Linked DNA regions of Saccharomyces cerevisiae S288C. Changing the gene in region 2 together with the main gene of any one other region gives a genetic interaction. Each region holds a gene or a part of one and is shown on either strand. Other genes may lie near its edges. The genes, in order: MOT3, UTR5 and ROX1.

Region 1 (4,548 bases), on a different chromosome or scaffold from region 2:
GTACCATACATAAACTATATGTATATAATGTATATATGCATAATTACTTTCTAAATTTGTGATTATTACTATTATCTTGATTGTTAAATGAGTGGGAAGGGATATTTTGTGTGTCTATAAAGTCTATCTATTTGTTGTGACTAACAATAAGGTTATTCAAAACACGTTTAACGTCGTCCTTATTCAGTACACCATCATTGATTAAAGTCTTGATGTTTGTATCGTAACCGTTTCCATCTTCATTTTCGGGAGCTGTTGCTGCTGCCGCCGCGGCACCGGCACCGCCACTGCCGCTAGCGCTATTGCTGTTATTATTATTATTATTGTCGTTGTTATTATTAGAGGAGGAAGAATTGTTGTAGTTAAAGATGATGTTGTTTTTCTTGAGTTCGTCTAATAAATAATTTGTATGCTTGAGTTTCATATGCTGTAAAAGATTATCTTTTCTCTTCTGCCTGCTTAAGCACCAAGGGCATAGAAAATGTCTTTGTTGCGAGTGTGACAATAGGTGCCTTTTCAACCATGATTTTCTTTTGAAAGACTTCTCACAAAATTGGCATTGATGGATATATTTATGGTCTGATGATGGGGCAGGAACCAAGTTCGAGGCCACAGGGTTCGAAGAAGGCACCGGCGCAGGGGGATGGTTAGGTGCTGTCGTAGGACGTGGTTGCGGCATAGTGTTTATTTTCCAACCAGGAGGTAGATGCAGAGGTTGTGCCGGGTTAATATTGAGATTCAAATTTGGAGAAGGGTTTTGTTGTAGTTGGAATTGAAATTGATCCGTTATTATCGTTGGATGGTGCTGAGGAGCGTTGTTTGTATTTACAGCACCACCATTGTTGAGGTTGTTGTGTGTATTACTATGATGGTGATGGTGATGGGGTGGACCGGGGGCCGGGGCTGGGGCTGAGTGAGAAGAGTTGTTGCTGCCATTGTTAGCGGCGTTATTACCATTGTTATTGCTGTTAACTGCTGAATAGTAATGGCTTATGTATGAAGCAGGATTGAACATATATTGTTGATCCTGTTGCGGTATTGGCATATTCGCAGTGGGGAAGGAGTAATAAGCAGCCGCTGCAGCATTTGAGTTCATATTTGCGGCCGCAGTAAACTGGTTTGGGTGAATATTATTGTTATTATTGTTGTTATTATTATTATTATTGTTATTATTGCTAGTACTGTTGTTTGCGACAGTGTAATCAGAAGCAGAAATATTGCTGTTGTTGCTGTTGTTGCTGTTGTTATGGACAATCGGCGACGCAGACATATTGTTACCAGCCGTCACATTATTGTTGTTACTGTTATTACTTGTATACTGATAGTAAGGGTATATATACTGCTGCTGATGTAAGGGCATTGGAAGTTCTCTTGCCCCAGAGTTCACCATAACGTCGTCCTTGTTAGAGGAAACAGTAGTCGTGTTGAAAGGCTGTGACGCCAGCGAATCGCTGCCGATATTGTTAGTGTTCGACACATTTTGTAATATCGTGTGCTGCTGCTGTTGATGCTGATGCTGATGCTGTTGTTGTTGATGCTGTTGTTGTTGATGCTGTTGTCGCTGTTGCTGCTGCTGTTGCAGGTGATGGTCCGCATTCATTGCTCAAATATGATATGTCCCTTTACTATTTGCCTACTGTTGCCTATTAGTTTTCCTTCTGTTAAATCTTTTCTTGTACCTGTTCCTTCTTGAGGAATTGTTTTGTTCAAGTTTTCTTCCAAAAAAAATTCCTTTTTTTTCTTTTTTTTTTTGATTGCTACAAGGCCTTAATTCCTATTATTTGTTTCTATTTTTTCTCTCTTTTTTCGTAATTCTTCTTTAACTTTACATCAAAAGAGAGACAAAGTTTAGTAAATCCAGACGGAGTAGTAGTATAAATACTATCCAGCGCAGATCATGACAGGATGATGCGCCTTGGTAGGATAAAAAAAAACAACAGCGGAGGCTACAGCACATCTTTTGAGGAAAAAAAAGAAGAAAATCAAGAAGAAAAACGAAAAAACCGGCAATAAACACCGTTATCGCCACTACTCCTTGCCGTGCGCAGTTATCGGAAGGCGCCGAAGGCGGAGAGCAGGGAGCGTTGTTCGGGTCTCCTCAGTCGGAGTCAAGGATTCGAGTCGCGCCGCCGCGTACGTAGTTTTACTTTTAATTTTTTTTTTATCGCGCGTTGTCCCTGTCGGCTTTCACGGCATGTGAAGGCAATATACGTAATAAAGCGGATCGCAGGGCACGACTACACGTCCCCCACCATGTCGCGTGTGACGAATTGTGGGTGATGCTGGTGCGGGTGATCCCGGAGCGCGGTAGAACCCAAGCGCCTCATATAGTCGCCGGGCCCGAGTGTTATCACTGAATACGGTGAGTGCTACACCGAAGAAATTGTCGCACATGCGGCGGGTGTGTCGAGCTACGCCATCGCACAGTGCATGCTCCAGTAGCCGCCGACCGATTCCATGCCCGCGGTGCGCGCTAGCTACATGTACTTCGTAAAGGTATATCACGGGCACGCTAACCTCGTGTAAAGCGTCACCTTCGACGAGACCCGTCTCCTCTGTAAGCATGAATGAAGTAAATGCACCTAGCACGCCGTTGTCCCAGTAACAGACATACACAAGGCCGGCGCTTTTCATCTCTGCGAGTTTGTTTGCCTTCCATGGTTTCCTGTTGCCGTACATAATGCGCGAGGCCCGGCGATACTTGGCGCCCAGGTGCTTGTCTATCAATTGCACACAGGCGTCCAGCACTTGGTCGCCGCGAGATTTGTGCAGCTTGTAGTTTATACACTTGAGGCTGTCAACGCTGTCAATACTGTCAGTGTCATCTTCGGGGATGTAGATAATCTCCCTTTCTAAAATAGCGGTGGTGAAGTTACCGTTTCCATCTGTATCCTTGTGCTCGATGGATTCAGGAAATTTTTCCACGCATAAGTTTAAGAAATGTTGGAACATTGGCGCCATGGCGACCCTCCTTCTTTCTGTTAGGTGCTCCTTCGATGTTCGTATACAGTTGTAAGTGTTCTCACTATATACCGAAGAACGCATCTCAGTGGAAAGAAAAAGAAAAAAGAAAAAGAGCTAAGAAAAAAATCTTTTAATGGCGCGCGCGCACCGCGCATACATATGTGGAAAAAAGGATGCATATAAAAAAAAATACGTAGTAGTCTTCTCAATCTTCTGCACGCGTGTTATTGCTATTTCTTAATTTTGAGATGGGTATGTTCAGAAGTGACACTCGTCTCCTCGGCTCGCCATTGTTTACCTTAATCTTGTACTTGTTCTCGTTCTCATCGTCCGGGTCCTTTCTTAGTCCCATTCCTATAGTGGCATCACCGCCATTGCCGCCGCCACCGTCATCGTTGATTGTAGCTGTCTGTGAGTCTCCTCTCACGTTGTCATTGCTCTTGTTAGGCAACAAGTATCTATTAATCAACGCGATGTTGTTGTGCGGACTTGTTGGTGTTGCACTGTGTCGTACTGATTCAGATACAAGCTCTTTCTTGGGCGACACACCTACTGGAGTCTTGACGTTGATGGAGTTCACTCTTAGTCTCGAGCTGGAATTTGAGCTTGACGAAAAACTGTCCGTAGACAAGGTTGGTTTTCGTGGGTTGAATACTGGATTTGTGATAGAACTCCTCCGATTCCCACCGTTACCGCTTGTTGTATGCGTTGATATCCTTCTTGGTAATACCGGCAACGGACTATTATTGGAATAGAGCGAATATGGCGAATTCATGCTTAAAACTGGGGAAGGCCCGTCCTCGAAAGTGGCCTTCGCATTTAGTATAGGAGTTCTGAATGAACTTGGTTTTTTGCCTGCACCCAACGGTGGCCCCTTCTTTTTCACCTCTTTTAACACTTTTGAATATATATTACCTACTTCAAACGTTTGTGCTACATCTATTGGCTTCCAATTTCCCTTGTCCCTGACATTATCATCCAAGGACACCTCACCTTCATTGAGAAGCATCTTCATACAACTTATACTGCCATACTCCAGGCATACATGCAGCGGCGTGTCGCCATTAGTGTCCATTACCCATAAATCAGCACCAACTCCTATCAACAGACTCAGACATTGGTAGTAATCGTTCATACATGCTATATGGATGGGGGCTCTACCATTCTCTCCGCGATGGTTGATAAATCGCGGAAATTGTTGCAAAAGTAAATGTAAGGTTTGCTCGTGCCCTTTCATTAATGCTAAATGCACACAGGTGTTTCCTTTAAAGGTTTTTATTAGTTCATGCTTGTCGTGCCCCAGCTGAATTAAATACACGCATATAAGGTATCTTCCATGGTATGAGGCGTAATGTAATGAACTCCATCCGTTCTCTGAGTCTATGTTGGTTAGCAAATCCGGATTCCGTCGCAATAATCTTTTCACTATAAGTAAATTGCCTTCAATAATAGCCTCCCGCAAGCGAACTGAGGGCTCTTTCAACATCTTTTGTTCAATATATCCTCTTTTCTAATGGGCGTTTTTTTTTTTTATTTTTAGGGTCCAGTTGATTTATACATTTTCAATTGTACCAGATCAAAAAA
Region 2 (3,883 bases):
TCAACATTTGTCTCGCAGCGACACCCGTGGATCTGGCGTGGAGAGGATACACCGTATTACCTAGGATCAGAGTTTTGAACCCGATCAATGTATTAGAGTTGGACTGGTTCATGCCACCAGCACCAAGCGACTTGAATACCCCGACAACGTTAACTCTGTCACCTGGCTTGGTCTTGTCCACAAGGTCGTCATCGAGAATGACGTCAATGGACCTGGGAAGTTGGCCAGCGGGGGCCATTTCGGGCATTTCTTGCACAGTGATACGCTGATGGTCTATGAACGTACTATACCCATATTCGGTGGTTAGTTTGTTACCTTCAGTGTCCTCCGTTGGATAGATGGCAGGCGTTGGGATGCGGGTGGTGAGAGTTGTAGTAGCATCTGTATAATCTCTGTAATGGAATCTACCAGTCTTTGCCGCGTAGTGGACAGATCTGATAAGCTTTGGCCTGACCAACGAAGTCTTAGTTACGATACCCTCAACAGAGACCAGTTTGTTTAAATGTTGTGCCGTTAGAGTACGAGGAGACAATGCGTGTGCACCAAATGAGCCTTTGAACGAAAGCTTCCAAGGATGGCGAGACGATACTGCAGAGGCATTGGGATGTGGAACATCGTCCATGGAATCTGCTAGGTCAGTAAGCGCCTTTTCGGCAGGCGGGATGAAGTATGCTGGTTCGACTAAAATGCCCGACCAGAACGACCTGTCGAATTCTCTCAAGTCATCAAGCGAGATGATAATCCTGTGAGGGAGTATATTCAATGAGGTGGACGATGCTGCTTTCTTTTCCTTTTCAAGATCATCACCGTCGTCATCACCTAGCAAATCTCGTTCGTCTGCGTCATCTTGATCATCGTTGTAGTTGGCCGCGTTATTGCTGTTGTAAACTTGTATGGACCTTACAGAGTCTCTGTATGAGGTGAAAGTATCTAAAAACTCTTGAAATCTGCGCACTCTGTCACCAAACACAGCGTCTGGAGCGAAAAAAGTAGTAGCGTCTCCATCAAATCCCGTTGAGCCTTCCATAATTGACGTTTGTATCTTTTTGGTGCGCTTATAGTGGAGTTCAATACGAGCAGTAGGATGAAAATGCTTCAAGGAAAAGAGCGTAGGCCTTTTCAACTTGAAAGAAGATTAAGAACCTATCTTTCGAGTTTTGACCAAATTTTTCTTTTTTTTCCTAAAACACGAGTTTTTACCCATTTAGGAAAAGTAATTGTTTCTTCTACCGCCTCGATCTGACGAACAAGGGAAATTGAAAAAAAAGAGAAAAATAACGACAACTGCAGGACTCGAACCTGCGCGGGCAAAGCCCAAAAGATTTCTAATCTTTCGCCTTAACCACTCGGCCAAGTTGCCATAACTCATTGAAAATTCTGTTTCCCACATAGGTCAAAACTAATATTTCCCTTGGCCTGCTCTTCAACCTCCCCCGTTCTGAGAGTTCCCTTTTTTTTTTTTTTTTTTTTTTTTTGAGGGGGAAGCGCCGGATTTGCCACCGACCGGCTGCTTGCAGCCGGTAGATATGCGCACATGAAAATCATCCTCCCCAATGAATTACACTGCCTGCATAAGGAAAAAGAAAAGTGTGAAATACGAATAAAAACAAAGTATATTATTGCTATATAGATGATAAATAACAAAATAAATAGAAAATAAAAAAAAGGATTTATTTGTGTATGCTTTAGGAGAACGAAAAAAAAATTGCAAAGAAAAAAACCCGGTTCAGCGAAGAGTACATGATGTGATGGAAGGGGCGTCGGAGTTTTTTTTTCTTTTTTCATTTATATCCCATGCCATGATGTTAACCGGTTTAATCGGTTCTAGCAGCTTCCTTGAAGGAGATGGCGGCTTCTTCACCCATAGCGGAGATGATGGTAACCATCAAGTCCTTACCTTCATCAAAAGCAGTTTGCAAACTGTCACCCAATTCACCTTCTGGAGCCTTGACATCATCCTTAGTGTCACCGTCCATGTTCATCAAAGACAAGAAACCGTCATCAATGTCCAACAATTGGTATTCGTTTCTCTTGACAACTGGAACTTCCATGTTGTGAGTAGATGGAGACAAATCTTCCAACTTCTTACCAGTGAAGATATCAATGGCAACCAAATGGACTTTAGCGTGACCGTGCTTACCAGTCTTAGAAGTGGACATGTCGACAATCTTACATGGTCTACTCTTGATGACAACGAAACCGTTCTTTCTCAAGGCAGAACATTGCATTGGGTAGGTGGCGGAGGAACCAGCGTCAGCAGTTTCAAAGGTATGTTCTTCGTCAGACATTGTATATATGAGTTGGTATTTGTGTGTGTTTGGGAGTCTATGAGTAATTGGCTACAGAAGTAGAATCGTTAGAAAGAAGGAAAGGAAGCAATTGATAGAAGGAGAGGAATTTAGGAAATGAGGGATTCCAATGTCAAGATATGGCAAAAACCTTGTGCATTATATAATCGTGGAACACGACGATCAACGCGGCCAAAAGCCGATCGACGACGACGACGAAAAAAATTTTTATTACCACTGTTCCTTCACCTTCGAAACTTTTTTTCGGGCGACGGCGTTTCTTTTAGCTCCTGCGGTATGTGCGGTGCGGGAGGTCCCTTGTCGCCTCACACGGACCCGATATAACGCTACGGAATACATCGAGGGGTATGGGTGGATGATATCACTGCAGCAAGGTCTGGGTGTTGCAGAATTTTACCGGCCTTGGCCCCTCAGCGTCCAGCTACAGCGTTATACTACTCCAAGTCGCCGTTCCCGTTTTGCTGTTCTCACCCCTCAGAGAAAATGCCACCAGAACGAAGCCAATGGTCAGGACTTATCGTTACTTATACTGTTGAGCCGGATATATCCGCTGTGCTCTAATACCAGCCAAACGAGAAGGGTAGCGGCAAGAAAGGGTAAACTTTCATGATGAAGTTAGCTAGTTCCTTTTACGATTGCTACTATCTCGTTCAACTTGGCCTGCGCTGTTGATGAAAATAGCAGTGACTGCAGAGAATAGAAATGAACCGGGCTCATCTGGTCTAGTTGCCTTCTTTTTTTTATTTTTTTTCATTTTCCTTTTCTTTTCTTTTCTTTTCTTGTCTCACTATGTTGGTTTAATCAATTCGTAATCCCTTTACCAACGCATTGTGTTCAATTTTCCTCTTGTGTGGGGTCGCCCGCCTTGTCTCATCGTGAAAAAATTGCGTAAGATGAAATCATGAAAACATGAAATAAAAAAAATAAATAAAAATAACTACACGATTCAAAAACGCCAAGATCTGTTAGTAGAGACAGCAAGCATTGCAAAACCATTCATCACTCAGTTGCTAGGCGAGTGTTGGTGCGATTTACCCTCATCATCTTTTTTTCGCTCCATTAAACAGTTCCTTGTGGCTTTCATGCAAAGTGTACGTCCATAATGAAGTATAATAACAGAAAACTCTCGTTCAACCCTACCACAGTAAGTATCGCTGGAACGTTGCTTACGGTGTTCTTTCTCACAAGACTCGTGCTTTCGTTCTTCTCGATATCGCTATTCCAGCTGGTAACTTTCCAAGGAATCTTCAAGCCCTATGTTCCAGATTTTAAAAATACTCCCAGCGTAGAGTTCTACGACCTACGAAATTACCAAGGCAACAAAGATGGTTGGCAACAGGGTGACCGCATCTTGTTTTGCGTGCCACTGAGAGATGCTTCTGAGCATCTTCCCATGTTTTTTAACCATCTGAATACCATGACATATCCGCACAACCTGATTGATCTGTCGTTTTTGGTGAGTGACTCTTCGGATAACACCATGGGCGTGTTACTATCCAATCTACAGATGGCGCAATCGCAACAAGACAAGTCCAAAAGGTTTGGTAACATCGAAATCTATGAGAAGGACTTCG
Region 3 (4,548 bases), on a different chromosome or scaffold from region 2:
AAACAATAATTTAGCCTGCATACCTTCTTTACTGTGCAATCACATGTACAAGGCTCTCTAGGATCTCGACTTACTTGCAAGATGTTTAAACAAGTGACACCGGCGGATGGTATTATTCATTAGTAATACTAGTTGGAATTGGAATTTGAACAAACAGTACAGTCGGGTAACCGCTCGAACTTGAAACTGTACATAAAACACCCTTCTGAGCAGTTAATCAAAGTGAAATTATTGCCGTTTTCCAGGTCGATTAAATCATTATAAATCTTAACCATCTGCGTACAGCATGTCGCTGCAACCATCGCATTCGTAGTGCTTACACTAGGTATGATACTCTTTATTATACCCAGGATAAAACTTGTTGATAATTTTTCTGTTGAGATGCTAAATTGGGCAGCCCTTTCGCAGCACTTCTCCAGCAGAAATTCCATATCCGCCGTAGACTCAATATTTAAATCAGGGTATTGTATAGTTGAGACATACTCCACAACATGCTCAATGCAGCGAGGATTGTTGGCGATTGTACACATTGGCACAGTATCCTGCTGCGAGGGCAAGGTATCAATGGAGCACTCCCAGCATGCAGTGATGCCTGGAATGATTGTTTTTACATGTCCCTTGAGCCCCTCTGTTCCACCATCTATGAACGGGATGCAAATTTCATAATTGGACTCCAAGGTAAGCTTCACGAGAGTCTCATTGATGAAGCGACGAGGTTCAATGGCGTCCAGCCCCGAGATTATGAACTGGAAGTCTTTGTAAAAGCTCGGGGGCAAAGTGGTCAGGTCCTGTACGTGCGCCACAACTTCCAATTGAGGGAACCGCGTGTTTACATACTGGGCTGCCACTTGAGCTTTCGGTTTGCCTATGTCCTTATCACAAAAAAGAAATTGTCTATTAAGGTTGGTTAGCTCGATTGTGTCTATATCTACAATATGAACCTGTTTAACAAAGCTTAACATTGTCAAATTCTTCAGGATTTCGCATCCTAGACCACCTGCGCCTAACACCAATATCTTGCAGTCCATCCTCGTCGCTTTATTATCGATAATATAGGTATACAATATCTCATTGATTTGTTTTTTAAGTTTAAAAAAAAGGGCTTAAAAAACGACTATGCTGAAACATTATACAATAATACATATTTTTTTTTAAAGGAATGATATTATTTGTGAGGTGAATATATACGTGAAAATTGAGAATATAATTTTATATATTCAAATAGAATTTGTAGACTGTTTCTTTTTTCTTTTCTTTCTTTTTTGTCTCTGGGTACTTTGTTTTAATTTTGACTTTTATTTGCTGTTATTTTACATATTTTTCAATTGTTCTTTTGAGGCGATTTAAACTTTTATTAAACAGGAGCCAAATGCATAAATTTTTAGTTAAAGGGAATATAGTATAATATAATATAACGGAAAGAAGAAATGGAAAAAAAAAATCATTTCGGAGAAACTAGGCTAGTTTTAGCGGTGACCTCAGTGTTGCTTGAGTTTATAATTTGATGTAGAGGAATGTTTTGGTTTGGTATATGAGGAATGTGATGATGCGTAGGGGTAGTTGTGGACAATAGATTGTTCCTGGTGTGAGACAGTGGTTTGACAATATAAGTTGGTCCCATCTGCTTTAGCTGCTGGTACTGATCCAGTTGAAAATCTTGCAGAGAAGGTAATAGAGGGGGAGGTAAATATTGATTTGAATTGTTGATACTGTTTAATCTGTTGTTCTCCAGTACAGAGGAGTTCGGAGAAGAGGAGAATTTCCCAGGAGAAGATGTCGCAGTTGTTGTGGATGTGGTAGTTGTAGTTACCGGTGTTTGACTGCTGTTGTTGATAATGGATGAAATAAAGGGCAATTGAGGGGTCGAGTTAGCCCTTGGTTGAGCTTGAGCGACGTTGAGGTAATGATGTCTCGTTGAAGGGTCGTGTGGAGCTGAGTAATATGGAATAGAATTTAGTTGAGATGACAGCTGTGGTAGGTCTCTTGCCGTCTTATCATGCGTCAAAGGTAGTCCACTTAAAGATCTGGAGACCATATAGTTAGAAGTATTAACAGAAGGAATAGGCAACCTCTTAAGATCATTGTTCAATTGGAACTGATAGCTGTTCGAGCTTGACACCGAGGAAGATGGTGAAAGAGAATGTGCTCTTTTCATAAGAACTATATTGTTGTTAAAGGGCTGTTGTAATTGCGGTTGTGACTGTTTCTGCTGCTGCTGTTCTTTCTGTTGTTGCTGCTGCTGTTGCTCGATTTCCTTCAAAAGTAGTTGCTTCTTCTTAGACTTTCTTACCGGCTTGTATTTGTATTCAGGATACTTCCTTTCATGTTCTAGTTTCTCCTTCTCCGCTAGATTTTCCCAGTGTGCCTTATCTTCCGGTTGTAAGCCCTTCCACTTCGTACCAATAATTTTAGAAATGTTTGAATTATGGGGTATTTCCACACCTTGAGCGGTCCATTCGTCTATTAAGATCCTGTGGTAGTGCTGTCTGAACAGAATAAATGCGTTCTTGGGTCTTGGAATCTTAGGTGTAGAGGATTTAGGATTCATTGTTGATTGTCTAACTGCGTTCTTTTGTGTGAAGAAGTATTAGTATTTTCTGGAATAATGAGGGGTGAAGAGGGAGAGTTAAGACACCGTAAATGTATAATTATATGCGAAAATTATAAAAGAAAGCAATGAGAAGAAACATTAAAACTGGAAAATAGTGCTATATTTAAGTAAAACTTCTGAAACTACAATTAGCAAATAAGATAGAGCAGAAAAGGAAAATGCAAGAGCGAAAAAAAAAAAACTTTGTTTAAGACCGTTACATTACGCAAAGTGAAAACGAAGAAAATATAATAGCAAAGAGCACTATAATAGTAAGAACCTACACACAAAAGACACAAAGAACACCGGCAAGACAATACGAGGAAGAACAACAAAAGAGGCAGCAACAATAGGCCCTTTTCTTCTTTGTCAGCAATCGCCAAGTTCTAGAACAAGGTTTTCCTACCAGATTTCCAATTGTTTTGCATAGTAATTCCCGGTAGTTCCACGCGGCCGATACCTCGACAGGCCAATGATATCCAGGGGATTTGTCGGCCGAGCCGAAGATCACCTGCCTCTCCGACGTCGGCTTTGCAGCTGCGGCAGCTCCTAGCGTAAGTAGCAGGAAAAAAAAGAAAGAAAATACTTTAAAGTACGCCTGCACCTGGGTTGCTCTAAACGGGAACAAGAGCCGGTTCCGATAACCGCACACTATTATTTCTAATCCCTCTACGTAATTGCTAAGCACACATGACTTCATACTTGCGTCACCCCGATTTTATTATTCCCTCCGGTTAAGCAAACGCCGCACCCCTGAGTCCGCCAGACCGGCCGCAAGAGAACGCAGTGTGTGTTCCTGTCTCTTTGCACGAACAAAGGAGATAGGACGGCACCCAGGCTCGCTAGGCGGCTACATGACTAAATGCCCAAGTTTCGTGCATTATGTAGAAGAAAATAGACGTCTGTGTAATCATTTCTTGAAGCAAAGCAATATTTGCAGGTTGAATGTAGGTCAACTGCATACTGGGAAGCGTTTTCTGACCGCTTCGGAAGCGTGAGCGGTCCGTCTCTTACAACTCGTTTGGAGCTACATGGTGAGACAACATTGGCGCGCACGCCAATGTTGTCCTTCTCAATGGCCATGCAAACACTGCTATTTTATCGATAACTGTTGTGATCTTGGCTTAGTTCTTGTGCTTTTTACACCCCGCAGTAGCGCTAGTTGTATGATTGCGGTTATCTGTCGCTTCTGTTCTCGTAACGCGCAACATGGAAGAAAAAATACTGAAAAATAATTTTAACAAAAGCTTGAGCAGAATGGGCATGGTACAACATCCATAGGCAAAAAAAAGGAATACATATACTCCGCTGCTACCTCCTCAACTAAACAATGACTTTGAATAACGTTGCAAGGCCCGACCTTTGTGTTTCGTATGTTTTTCACCGACAATTTTCTTTCAAATTTGCTGATATTGCCAATATATACTAACAGTTCAACCGCTCCCTTTCTACCACAGGTACAAGAAAATTGCGCCACCAAAAGGACTATATTCTGCCACACCAAGCATATCTGGTGTGGTTAACCAATCCATGCCTATGGCCGCTATTTTCTTGAGGAACAAGTTCATTGCCTGGTTCTCCCTGATTCAGAGTGTACACTACTACCTGAACACCGACGAAGACATCATCGTTGCCTATAAGGAAAATAAGGCACCATCTCCAATGGACCAGCCTCCTGCAATCAAGCTATTCATGAGTTTAATCGGGTTATGCGTGTGTTACATGAACTTAGTTTTCCCTCAACAAATAGCTCAACCATCGTCTAGCGGCTCTAAAGGTAATACTGAAACGACAATTGAGACAACTACCGAAGTAGAGACGGAAACAGCTAAGCAGTAGGCTTATCCTATCCTCTATTTCCGCCCTGCCCCATCAAAAGGAAGGAAAAAATAGTAAATACGGGACTTCCTGTGTCGTTTTTTCATTTCCTAGGTTTTTTTCAAGTCTTCCCTAGTAGT

The links.
Region 1: of UTR5 (region 2) and MOT3, a mutation in one rescues a mutant of the other (synthetic rescue), as found in Saccharomyces cerevisiae (one study listed by BioGRID).
Region 3: of UTR5 (region 2) and ROX1, a mutation in one rescues a mutant of the other (synthetic rescue), as found in Saccharomyces cerevisiae (2 studies listed by BioGRID, with this or other methods).

Annotation. Positions count from the first base shown.
Region 1 is NC_001145.3:406,206-410,753, reverse strand, and holds MOT3 (Mot3p), read right to left. Parts: upstream 1,601-4,548; coding exon 128-1,600; downstream 1-127. Other genes in the region: NAT4 (N-terminal L-serine N(alpha)-acetyltransferase NatD), read right to left, coding at 2,188-3,045; AVO2 (Avo2p), read right to left, coding at 3,170-4,450. UniProt on the Saccharomyces cerevisiae protein: Transcription factor that affects the expression of a large set of genes. Recognizes and binds to the consensus sequence 5'-[CAT]AGG[TC]A-3' in the promoter region. Plays a major role in the repression of a specific subset of hypoxic genes (e.g.
Region 2 is NC_001137.3:84,081-87,963, reverse strand, and holds UTR5 (Utr5p), read left to right. Parts: upstream 1-2,418; coding exon 2,419-2,919; downstream 2,920-3,883. Other genes in the region: MCM DNA helicase complex subunit MCM3, read right to left, coding at 1-1,027; MTC7 (Mtc7p), read right to left, coding at 1,366-1,785; HYP2 (translation elongation factor eIF-5A), read right to left, coding at 1,815-2,288; ANP1 (Anp1p), read left to right, coding at 3,412-3,883.
Region 3 is NC_001148.4:677,693-682,240, reverse strand, and holds ROX1 (Rox1p), read right to left. Parts: upstream 2,549-4,548; coding exon 1,442-2,548; downstream 1-1,441. Other genes in the region: ISA2 (Isa2p), read right to left, coding at 1-21; NEDD8-activating protein UBA3, read right to left, coding at 129-1,028; YPR064W (uncharacterized protein), read right to left, coding at 2,871-3,290; YPR063C (uncharacterized protein), read left to right, coding at 3,921-3,961, 4,048-4,429. UniProt on the Saccharomyces cerevisiae protein: Transcription factor that represses the expression of HEM13, COX5B, ANB1, CYC7 or AAC3 (hypoxic function). Binds to the DNA sequence 5'-RRRTAACAAGAG-3'.